Linked DNA regions of Arabidopsis thaliana. The protein of the gene in region 2 interacts with the protein of the main gene of each other region in a biochemical or structural test. Each region holds a gene or a part of one and is shown on either strand. Other genes may lie near its edges.

The links.
Region 1: the proteins of bHLH104 (region 2) and BTS form a complex in vitro, tested with the Arabidopsis thaliana proteins (one study listed by BioGRID).

What each region holds. Positions count from the first base shown.
Region 1 is NC_003074.8:6,272,171-6,280,217, forward strand, and holds the start of BTS (zinc finger protein-like protein), read left to right. Parts: upstream 1-1,795; 5' UTR 1,796-2,137; coding exon 2,138-2,467; intron 2,468-2,761; coding exon 2,762-2,971; intron 2,972-3,097; coding exon 3,098-3,292; intron 3,293-3,366; coding exon 3,367-3,728; intron 3,729-4,099; coding exon 4,100-4,328; intron 4,329-4,469; coding exon 4,470-4,638; intron 4,639-4,733; coding exon 4,734-5,966; intron 5,967-6,129; coding exon 6,130-6,301; intron 6,302-6,652; coding exon 6,653-6,871; intron 6,872-6,982; coding exon 6,983-7,120; intron 7,121-7,226; coding exon 7,227-7,461; intron 7,462-7,548; coding exon 7,549-7,608; intron 7,609-7,710; coding exon 7,711-7,782; intron 7,783-7,863; coding exon 7,864-8,004; 3' UTR 8,005-8,047. UniProt on the Arabidopsis thaliana protein: Essential protein. Negatively regulates the response to iron deficiency and thus contributes to iron homeostasis. Exhibits E3 ubiquitin-protein ligase activity in vitro.
Region 2 is NC_003075.7:8,297,543-8,302,220, reverse strand, and holds bHLH104 (basic helix-loop-helix (bHLH) DNA-binding superfamily protein), read right to left. Parts: upstream 2,825-4,678; 5' UTR 2,145-2,824; coding exon 2,089-2,144; exon of another isoform or gene 1,804-2,088; coding exon of another isoform or gene 1,766-1,803; coding exon 1,457-1,765; intron 1,373-1,456; coding exon 1,292-1,372; intron 1,211-1,291; coding exon 1,048-1,210; intron 961-1,047; coding exon 718-960; 3' UTR 554-717; downstream 1-553. Other genes in the region: AT4G14420 (HR-like lesion-inducing protein-like protein), read left to right, coding at 1-50; ACD6 (ankyrin repeat family protein), read right to left, coding at 3,861-4,514, 4,598-4,678.

The DNA.
Region 1 (8,047 bases), on a different chromosome or scaffold from region 2:
GAGGCAAATAAACATTATCCTTAGACGAAAAAAATAAAACAAAACAAAAGAGGGAAAAAGGATACATGAAAAGAGATTGATCACTATATTGATGGATCACAATTCACAAAAAGCCAACCCATTGCCTATTGTACACTTGCACGATACTCGAAATTTCCAAATAATTCGGAACAAAAAAAACAGCTATATTCATTTTTTAAAATAATCAACCAATCGAATTTAGTCTTAAATTGTATAATTGTTTTAATCATTTAGGTTTACGATCATAATTAGGTGGTCATAGATGCCTATATCGTTGCATTAATTGAAGAAGGGAGAATAATAATCCTACCATCTATGATCCTATAAGATTGCAATAAAGCTATATATATATATATATATTCATATAGTATATATGATCTAATCTCTTGTTAATTACTATATAAATTAGGTAAAGGTTACCGTAGAAAATTACGTGGAACAATGTTGAAATGCTTACATAAGTTGACTAGTCCGTGTTGTTTTTGTTCTTTATAGAATTATAGTCAAGAACGGCGAATTATTAAGTTGTTTCTGATTATAAAATAAATAGGTTGTTGTGAAATCGGGGGAAAAAGAATAATGAATACTTGTTAAATATTGGTCCCCTAATAAATGTTATTTATTTTGGTTATAAGAAAAAAAAGGAATGTGTTGTGGAGAAGAGAGCGCGAGTGGAACTTGTTGCTACCCAATTGTCGCCACACTTCCCACACGTCCCCTCTTGTATCTTTTTTTTACTTTTCACCACTTCCTTTGTCCTCTGTTTTTTTCCCACCATTTTCTACTTCATCAATCTATTCCTTTTGTTTTTTTGGTAAAATATGTAAATATCATCTATTTAAAAATAAAATATGAACGAATAGATTTATAAATATACAAAATTGAAATTTTAAGATACTTTTAATCGAAAAGAGTTCCCAAATATTTACGTAATTAACATTTTTCAAAGTTTATTTAGGTTTAAATGTAATTTTCTGGTGTACCACTAACTAGACTATACATAATATAAACACGACTGTGAAACATGATCATCATTAGCTGTTGATTATCTACTAAAGAATTGTTTGTTATCTCTACATAAGAATATATATTGAACACGATTTCTATTATCTTTTACTAATTTGAAATAGAATTGTTTCTAGTAATGACACAAAATTAATTGACTCAATCTAGTAAACCTTGGAGCACATGCAAACTCAATTAAACAAGTTTAAACCTTTGTATTTGCATTTATTAATCAAAGCAAAACTGTGAAGCAATAATTTAATCAATGGTTTAATTAAGAAGCTAATTAGCTATTTGGCTCCTTTAGATTACGAACGGGTGCTGCTACATCTCCTCTCTGTCATTAGTCATTACTAAATATTTAAACCAAGTTCGAATCTGTCTTACATTATCTTATTTCATAAAATCTCAAAGCCAAATTCATCTTTTCTTTTGAAAGTGCTCCCTCAAAAGCTAAACCTCAAACATATAAAATAGCAAATTCATTTTAACAAAAGCTTAATGAATTCCACGTAAGCAATTACATAACGTTTTTGCCCCTAGTCAGTAGAGTCCCTCCTTCTAACTCCGAGAACCAGCGTCCATGTCTCGCGGACCAAATGCGTTCGTAGGTAAGACGCTTGCACGTGTCGAGATGTAATCGGTCACGTGCCAACCTGGGTTGGTTGCATCAGCATCCGACGTGGCGATGTGAATGGCCACGTGCTACAAAACCTATGTATAGAAACACCCACCCAATCCCCAAGCACTTTTATTCATTTTCTATAAAAAAATTTACAAGGATCGTATAATACTACTAACAGTTTTTTTTAAATATTTTCCAGATAAACATTAATAAAACGATAAAAGGCAAAAAATAAAAAAGAAAAGAAAGCAAAAGCAAAATCAAAATCGATATATCAGACAACGCCTCGACCTTTCTTTCTTTTTTTCCTTCTCATCGTCTCCGTTGAACAACACCACACAAACACCAGAAGAACACCAGATAATTCCCATGGTGAACCGAGCTCAGATTTGAAAATTGAAGGTCGTAGACGAATCATAAGGAAAGAGAGAAGTGGTTTGAGATTTCTTTTTTGACGGACGAAAACGGAGATAAGCTTTGGGGGAAATGGCGACGCCGTTACCAGATTTTGAGACGGCGAGAGGCGGCGGAGCAGTGGCGTCTTCTTCAACCACGGTTCTTCCGAGTTCTGTGTCTTCTTCTTCTTCTTCATCTCGTCCGTTGCCTGTGGCGAATTCGTTCTCGGATGACGCGGAAGAGATTTCTCCGATCCTGATTTTCTTGTTCTTTCATAAGGCAGTATGTAGTGAGCTTGAAGCTCTTCATAGATTGGCTCTTGAGTTTGCTACTGGTCACCATGTCGATCTCCGGCTGCTTCGTGAACGGTACCGGTTCTTGAGATCCATCTATAAGCATCACTGCAATGCCGAAGACGAGGTAATGCGAAAACCTGGTCCTCTTCTTTTAAATTTGATCTCATCATGTTCTGAAAACTGCTGAATTAGAATTTGGAACCATCTCTACTTGGATTTTGAACTCAATACATATAGCTGCAAATTTGTGTAAATCTGACTTGATTTTATCTTAAACGAATTGTAAGTCTCAATTAGTCTCTTGCTGATCATCCTATTGATTCTATGAGTGCGTTGTAGATAGGGAATCTATTGCAACATATTTGTATTGCTATGTTATGAGGAAGAATTGTTGACAGTTGCAAATCTGTGGATGTAGGTGATATTTTCAGCTCTTGACATACGTGTGAAGAATGTAGCGCAAACATATTCTCTTGAACACAAGGGGGAAAGCAATCTTTTCGATCATCTCTTTGAGCTGCTGAATTCTGCCACGGAAACTGATGAAAGTTACCGAAGGGAGTTGGCTCGTTCTACCGGAGCACTTCAGACTTCTGTTAGCCAGCACTTGGCGAAAGAACAGAAACAGGTATTTTTTTCTTTTCCTTCACATCACAGATGTATTATCTCTGTTGTTTTCTATTAACACAGATCGAATATTTAGCATTACGCATTGGCCTTTATTAATTACGGGTTGTTCTTGGCTTGTTGATAGGTGTTCCCCTTACTTATTGAGAAATTCAAGTATGAGGAGCAAGCTTACATAGTCTGGCGGTTTCTCTGCAGTATTCCTGTGAATATGCTTGCTGTGTTCTTGCCATGGATTTCTTCTTCCATTTCAGTAGATGAAAGCAAGGAGATGCAAACGTGCTTAAAGAAGATAGTTCCAGGCGAGAAGCTCCTTCAGCAGGTAAGTTTTGAATTAAGATCCAACTTTCTAAGTTGAAAGACTTTGGCTTGTTGATTGATATTTTCCTTTTGAAGGTTATTTTCACCTGGCTGGGAGGGAAAAGCAATACCGTGGCTTCGTGTCGCATTGAAGATTCTATGTTCCAGTGCTGTCTAGATTCTTCTAGCAGCATGCTTCCTTGTAAAGCAAGTAGAGAACAGTGCGCATGTGAGGGTTCCAAGATTGGGAAGAGAAAGTACCCAGAGCTTACTAACTTTGGCTCATCTGATACTCTGCACCCAGTTGATGAGATAAAGCTCTGGCACAAGTCAATCAACAAGGAGATGAAAGAAATAGCCGATGAGGCTAGGAAGATTCAGCTGTCTGGAGATTTTTCGGATTTATCGGCATTTGATGAACGCTTACAATATATTGCTGAAGTGTGCATCTTCCATAGGTATTTGTTGTATCCTTTCATTTACAATGAAAACAGAATAATCTCAATTTTGCTATTGTTTATTGGCTATCTTTTGTGGGACTATTCAATGTTGATTTATTGAGGTAAATAACTAGATTTGTTTTATAAAGTTGATGTTGATGGCCACTAAAACACGTTTGCCAGCTGTGATGTGTTTTACTTTCAAGTGATATGGATGTTGTTTATCCTTTACTCTTCTCATGCTTAAGCACGTTTCTGCATTAGAGTGTTATCATTCGAAAAAGAGTTTTATCAAATGTTCATATCTACATACAACTTTTTTTTTCTTCTGACAGAGATTGAATTGTCATTGGACTATTTTTGAGATGATCTGTTCTTTTCTCGTGCAGTCTTGCAGAGGACAAGATCATATTTCCAGCTGTAGATGGAGAGTTTTCATTTTCTGAAGAGCACGATGAAGAAGAAAATCAGTTTAACGAGTTTCGATGCTTAATTGAAAATATCAAGAGTGCTGGAGCCTCTTCTACTTCCGCTGCCGAATTTTACACTAAGCTGTGCTCACATGCTGATCAAATAATGGAAACTATTCAAAGACACTTCCATAACGAGGAAATTCAGGTGAACTATTGCTTTTAAGTGCTGTATGATATTGTAAACAGGTGAAACTATGAAAGTTTGGCATAAGATCATTTGATACTATATGCTATGAAGATTCAAGATACCAATTTCAGGATGTCAACTAACTTGTAGTGGTTGCAGGTGCTACCCCTTGCACGAAAGAACTTCAGCTTCAAAAGACAACAAGAACTTCTCTACCAAAGCCTGTGTATAATGCCATTGAGACTAATTGAACGAGTTTTGCCATGGTTGACGGCATCTTTAACAGAAGATGAAGCTAAGAATTTTCTGAAGAACTTGCAAGCTGGAGGTACTATCTACTGTACTGCCTTAAACTTAACCTTCTTTCAAATTATTAGCTACTCACAATTTTGCATAATTACATGCTTTTTCTTGTGGCCTCAGCACCTAAATCGGATGTTGCTCTCGTTACTCTTTTCTCTGGTTGGGCTTGCAAAGGACGCAAAGCCGGGGAATGCTTGTCTCCAAACGGGAATGGTTTATGCCCTGTGAAAACACTAAGCAACATTAAAGAAGTCAACCTTCAGTCATGTAATGCTTGTGCGTCTGTTCCATGCACGAGTAGGAGTACAAAATCGTGTTGCCAGCATCAAGATAAAAGGCCAGCTAAGCGAACTGCTGTATTGTCTTGTGAAAAAAAAACCACCCCTCACTCGACAGAAGTTGCAAATGGGTGCAAGCCATCTGGAAATGGTAGGTCATGCTGTGTTCCGGATCTCGGAGTTAACAATAATTGTCTGGAACTTGGTTCTCTTCCAGCAGCTAAAGCTATGAGATCTTCTTCGCTAAACTCTGCTGCACCCGCTCTTAATTCCAGCCTCTTTATTTGGGAAATGGATAGTAACAGCTTTGGTACTGGACATGCTGAGCGGCCAGTTGCTACAATATTCAAGTTTCACAAGGCCATAAGCAAAGATCTAGAGTTTCTTGATGTTGAATCTGGAAAGCTCATTGATTGCGATGGAACATTTATTCGTCAATTTATCGGTCGATTTCACCTACTCTGGGGTTTCTACAAGGCTCATAGTAATGCAGAAGATGACATCCTATTTCCAGCTCTAGAATCGAAGGAGACACTTCACAATGTCAGTCACTCTTACACGCTCGACCATAAACAGGAGGAGAAGTTGTTTGGAGATATTTATAGTGTCCTTACCGAACTTTCAATTCTTCATGAGAAGTTACAGAGTGATTCTATGATGGAGGACATAGCTCAAACTGACACTGTTCGGACGGATATCGATAACGGTGACTGCAACAAGAAATACAATGAACTGGCTACAAAGCTACAGGGGATGTGCAAATCCATTAAAATCACTTTGGATCAGCACATTTTCTTGGAGGAACTGGAGCTTTGGCCTCTATTTGACAAACACTTCTCCATTCAAGAGCAAGACAAGATTGTGGGTCGTATAATCGGAACAACGGGTGCTGAAGTTCTTCAATCTATGTTACCATGGGTGACGTCTGCCCTTTCTGAAGATGAGCAAAACAGAATGATGGATACCTGGAAGCAGGCAACCAAGAACACAATGTTCGATGAATGGCTTAATGAATGCTGGAAAGGATCACCCGACTCATCCTCAACAGAAACATCCAAACCTAGTCCACAGAAAGGTAAAAGCATTGCTTAGCTATTTCTCACCAACTTAATATCTAACTTGTTTAATGTAACCTTAGATGTTTCTTCTTTGGACTTCATAACTCATACTTAAGCTGGCAACTATAGTTTCTCTGTGCTAAGTTTGTTTTGCTTATGTCAAGTTTATTTTCCATATAGATAATGATCATCAAGAAATCTTGGACCAAAGTGGTGAACTATTTAAGCCAGGGTGGAAAGATATTTTCCGCATGAACCAGAATGAACTAGAGGCTGAAATCAGGAAGGTCTATCAGGACTCAACACTTGATCCGAGGAGAAAAGATTATCTCGTACAGAATTGGAGGACCAGGTCAGATTTTTTTCACTATTTCCACGCATGGATCCTTTATTCCACATTGTCATGCATACAGCATGCCAGACATAAATCTAGAACCCCCCAAAGAGATAATACATTTCCCTGTATTACTTGAACTTCTTTTGCAATGCGGAAGAGTATAAGTGGTGCTCCTGTCCTTTACAGTTTCCCAATCCAAAATAACGTGCTCAGTTTATTTTCCACTGTGCATGTATATGTGTCCTTGATTGAGCAATCTTCTGATATAGAGAACCTATAATCTCATTCACATGTCCCTCATACCCGAATCCTATTTGTTCTAGAGTAACATTTATTTTAAAATTCTTCTGTTGGTGCATTTATCAGTCGATGGATTGCGGCTCAGCAAAAGTTACCTAAGGAAGCAGAAACTGCAGTAAATGGTGATGTTGAACTTGGATGTTCCCCGTCTTTTCGGGATCCCGAGAAGCAGATATATGGATGCGAGCATTACAAGCGTAACTGCAAGCTTCGAGCTGCTTGTTGTGATCAGTTGTTCACTTGTAGGTTTTGCCATGACAAAGTAAGCGACCACTCCATGGATAGGTAAGATCTTATATTCTAAAGCCAGTTTCCCCTAATTAAATTGAAACTTCTTTGTTCGTATTTTTTTTCTCTCTCTGTGATATGTAATTTTATATTTGAAACATATTACAGAAAATTGGTGACGGAAATGCTCTGTATGCGGTGCCTCAAGGTGCAACCTGTTGGTCCCATCTGCACAACACCTTCATGCGACGGATTCCCAATGGCAAAGCACTATTGCAGTATTTGCAAACTTTTTGATGATGAAAGGTAAACAAAACCCAACAGTTTGATGCATAAACGAATCAATTTACCACTGTCAAAAATCAAACTTCAGAAGCTATTCTAACCGTGAGAAACAATTATCTGCATTCAGGGCCGTTTACCACTGTCCATTCTGCAACCTTTGCCGGGTCGGGGAAGGACTAGGAATCGATTTTTTCCATTGCATGACATGTAACTGTTGCCTAGGGATGAAATTAGTAAACCACAAGTGCCTCGAGAAGAGCCTCGAGACAAATTGCCCCATCTGCTGCGAATTTCTTTTCACATCGAGTGAAGCAGTTAGAGCCTTACCATGTGGTCACTACATGCACTCAGCTTGCTTCCAGGTTTGCAAATCTCTCTTTCTCTCATTAAACTTAAATTAACTTTTAACGCCTAAAATCAAAACACTTGCTGTTACTCTGGTCTTTCAGGCTTACACTTGCAGTCACTACACATGTCCAATCTGTGGAAAATCATTAGGAGATATGGCTGTAAGATGATCCCCGCCCCTCAAGAGTGTAACATGCATATCACATCATGCAAATATTGTTTACTGAACTGTTTCTTCTTCGTTTCTTTTGCGAACTCCACAGGTTTATTTTGGTATGCTTGATGCACTGTTAGCTGCAGAAGAACTTCCAGAGGAATACAAAAATCGCTGTCAGGTGAGAAACACTAAAACTGCTGCGTCTTGACTATTTCTTTTAGTCTAGTCATTTCATGACACACATACACAAATGTTTCAGGACATTCTATGTAATGATTGTGAACGCAAAGGAACTACACGGTTCCATTGGTTGTACCATAAATGTGGTAGCTGTGGTTCTTACAATACCCGGGTGATCAAGTCCGAAACAATCCCCCCGGACTGCTCAACCTCATCCTGAAAACACCAAGAGGTTTCACTCACTTGTTACTCTCTTTTTTTCT
Region 2 (4,678 bases):
AACACGGTAGGCAACTCAGGAAAAAGGCTCCAAAGGCAAAAGCAAACTGAAGAAGCCATATCTTTCATCGGTTTTATTCGGTCTGTATTTTATTTTCATTTTGGAATCCAGGATGGGTTTAAAGAGTCTATCTGATGAGGCCATTGAAAGGCAAAATCTCTGCAAATCATTTTGCTTACTTCAAGAAGCTTTTATGACACTTTTTTGTAGAAATATTTATGGATTATTGTTTCTTAGAGACACCACTTCAATGTTATTGTTCCAACTTATTTCACAACGCGACTGATTTATTAACCTACGGAATAGCCATCAGCTCAACCTTTGTAAATTCATTGTCACTTTGGTCCTAATTGGCTAATTTGTTGCTACTCAGTGAATGGTAAAAATAATTATTCATATAGCGAAGAATACAACAGCAAGAAGCTCTCGTAGCTCAGTTGGTTAGAGCACCCGTTTAGTAAGCGGGAGGTCTTGAGTTCAACTCTCAACGAGAGCAACATTTTTGGTCTGAGCTAAAGTTTTTGATAACTGAACTTTTCGAACTCATAGATCAGAGAAGAATCACAAGTTTCTGGAGTTATATTTATTTTATAAGAAAAATACAACCCAAGATCAAGAGTAAAGCTTTTACACTTGCCAAACGGAAGAATCCTAAACCAAGTGATTCAGAAATCTCTATGAGTTCCCTATGGGTACCAAAAAAAAACAATTGAGAGTTTAAGCAGCAGGAGGCCTGAGTTCTTGATCACGAGATGTGTCACGAACGGATTGAGGCATATAATGCCACATTGGCATGTAACCGTAACTTGGATAAACAGCCATTTTGTTGTGGTTAAATGCAGCTGGAATATGAGGTATGAACCCTGAAGATGGAGCCGTCATAGACTTTAACTGTTGTTCTGTCTTCTCTTTATCCGCCTTCAACACCAGCTTTTCCTCCCTCAGCTCGTTCTTCTCCGCCTATAAAGAAACATACAAACTTAGAAATCTGTTCACATCCCATTGAACAAGATTCTTGGTTTAGGTGAAAGTGAATGAACAACCAACCTTGAGACTCTTGATCTCCTCTAAAAGCTTCTGGTTAGTTTCTTCAAGCTTAAGAGCTTCATCTCTAAGTTGATTCAATATACGGATTGCATCATCGAGTATAGCCGGTTTATCAGTCTTAGGAGTCCTCCCAGGCTCCAAAACCGAGCTCAAATCCATAAACCTAACAGAACAACAACAATTTTTTTCCCCTTGAGACAACTCACTTCACAAAACAAAAACATAGACTAAGCTCTAAACATACCTCTCATTTAGCTTCTCCCTCCTCAACCTTTCACGACACGCTTTAGTTCCTCCTCCTCTGCTACACGATCCAGTCCTTGCCCTATCAACAACCATCACAGATTCAATTAAAAACACAACCAACTACCACCAAATCACAAAAAGTTTATATTTTTTCAAAACTCACCGCTTTCTGGAGCAATCGTCATCTAAATGTTCCTGTTCTTCCTTAACAGCTCCACCAGATGAACCAGAATTGATCTCTACTTCTTCTTCCTGCACAACTTCACAATCTTGTTGCCCCACCTGTTCTGGCTCTAGCGACAAAACTCCATTATACGAGGACAAATCCAATTGAGAAGCTCCAATACTAAAGACTTCATCTGGCTCCTGCTGCAAATTCACACCATATGACACAAAATCTGGAAAGGTATCCTCTTGATCAGTCTGCAAATTTACACCAAACTGTGTGTAATCATCAAGTTCTGCTCCATTGCTACAAGAGTCATCATGACCAAAAAGATTCACATCCATCAATAGGAGTAAATATAAACAACAACATCCATAAAGCTACTTCTTCTCCTATTCAATTTAACAGCTTTCAGATACATTAGGGTTCGTCAAATTATCATCAAAAGACACAACCTTTCCCCCTGAAATGCGAAAAAAACAACAACACTTTTCACAGAAATCGAATTGAACATTAAAGATATGATTTTGCAATTGAAAAAAGGGATCAAATTCGATAAAACAACTGAATCGAAAGAGATAGAGAAAACAGAGGAAGGTGAAGGAAGAGAAGAGTGCGAAAGGACGAACCTTTGATCGAAGCAAAACAAATCAGAGACGAAATCATCGTCGAGAGAAGGATACATTTGAGAGTCTCCAAACAAATTTGAGATTTGTGGAAAGCTTCAACGGAGACGCCAATATTGGAAAAGGAACTATAAATTATAGAGATTATATTATTAAAGCGATCCTATTATTTAAAAAATTCCGAGTGACGACAAGGAGATAAGAATGGTGGGAACTATATTCGCCGATTTGATATTAGTGGAAATAAAAAACAGAGTGTTTTTTTTTACTCAAATTCCTATTCGGGAAATGACAAATCGCCTCTAGAAATACACTTTTTAAAGTATTGAAAGATAGACAAACAAAAAAAAGACAGAATCATATTTTCATGCGTAGATATTGGGGAATTTTATTGAATTTGCATTTGTTCTTTTTAAGATAGTAACTTTTTCATCGAGTGGAGTTGAGTAAACCAATCCGATGCAAGAACGTCTAAAGGAAAAGCAAATCGTTGATACGTTTTTGACGAGCAAGAGCATGAGCTTGAGAACTACACAATCTAGGATCAAATTCAAAGAAATGAAAAGGAAACCAACTTTCCAAAACGCAAGAATTGGTATGGTTTTATGAATGGTTCCGCCATGTCAATTCAGGTTTAGAATCCGCGAGTTGGACATAATCTATTTTATTATAGGGTTATACTTTTAGATTTCTAAAAAGTCAGGGTTATCGAGTTAGTATATGGCGGATTACAATCTCAAATGAATTAACTCGCATATCCTGCGAGTTAACCAATAAACAAAATAATATAATTAAAATTATCAATATTTATTTAAAATATAGTAATTTGTGATTTGTTTATTTAATTTGTTAGATATTATTGATTTTTAAAATAATATTATAATCTGTCATAAATTTATTTTACTATGTTTAAAAACTAATTGTAAAAAAAAAATTTACTTCTCAGAATAACTAAACAAGAAAAAAATACACTAATCAACAACAAAATTTACGGTCATAAAATGGATTGGGTTAGTGTTGGTGTGCTCTACGGTGTTGCGCCACTTCGCCAAAACTCACACAATTACATGGTGGGGTTTAGTGAAGCGAAATAAAGAAAAATTTGTATACATAAAAAAGAGAGAGAGAGAAGGAAATCAAAAGTAAATGAGGGAATAACAAGATGAAAGATTAGTGGAGATATGATCAGAGATTCATATCTTGATAGAGCCAGTCTCATCAAAATCGTATAAACATCAACATTGACAAAAAGAAGAGTCTACCTAGTCATGTTGTGGTCAGTGGTTACAGTGAACGAATAAAGAGGGTCCCTAAGTTTTTGCACCTCTTGGAACAATCTAACGTCGTATTGTCGTTGCCAAACGTATCTTCAAATTTTTATACCCCAACAAAAATAATAATTCTTGTGAAGTATCGTCTATATTGCTCTTGAAAACGACTCATGTGGAACGCACGACGAGAATAAAAAACAATTTACCTTTTTTTTTTGTTAAACTCATCTCCTTTGAATGTGGTTCATAAATTCGAGAGATTAGTAAACTGGTATCCACTAAACCGAATAATAAAATATCACTCGATTATTTTAGAGGAAAATCTCTTCGAATGATATACTTTTCACGCTTTATTACAACTACAGATAATTCTGATAGGACTTCGAATGAGTTGTATGATCAAGATGCCGCTTCTCAGAGCTAGAGACCAGCATATCTCGTAGCTTTTTGAAAGAAAAAAAAAAGAGAAGAAAAATATCCTTTGATCTATAAACTTTTGATGATTTATTCGGAACACGCCACACAACCAAAACAAGCTTTGATCAAAATCACAAACAACTCAGATATGTCTATAGTCAGCATAAAAGTCTTGAGAAATATACCAGAACTGGGCGGAAGGTGTGAGCGCTGTAGCATGACGTGAGGGCCAAGGATAAAGATTGCGAAAAGGAAGAATCCACCAGATATAATGCTAATGGTGACTAAAAGCCATTTCACATGGGCAATTGCAGTGATCACGCCAAAAAGGAATGCTACGGGCATGCATAGTAATGAAAAAAGTAGTAAGGGCAAGGCCACATGTAAGGATTTGAGGATGAGTGCTAGATCACCCAACTGCGCCCAAATAAGAGTACATATTGTTGCAACAGAACTTTGCATTGCCAAGATGTCAAAAAGCAGAAAAATGAAGAGAGTTGGGTTAGTGGCCAAAGTTGCCCTGCCCAAGTTTGGTTTTTTGCTATCGCTGATATAACCACCTGGTATTGTAAAGCCTGCAGCAAACGTCACTGTGGCTACAAGAGCCGCTACCACGAGAAGAGCGTTGACGTAATGTCTGTTTTTCTTAGGGTCTAGTGGCACTGACTGTATTGTTAATGACTTAACAGATTCGAAACCACTTGAGTGAATAGCGTATAATAAGAGCGCCAGTGTCCACCTCTGTAATTCCAAAAATATGGAGGTCAAGCTATAAATCATTTATGAGGGATCAAATGTGTTGTATGAAACGGAATCAGAAATACCTCATGAAAGATGTAGTTGGGTTTCACCTCTGACTCGGCAATATCCCTAGCTCTTAAGCCGCTTTTGTTTCGTAATTTCAG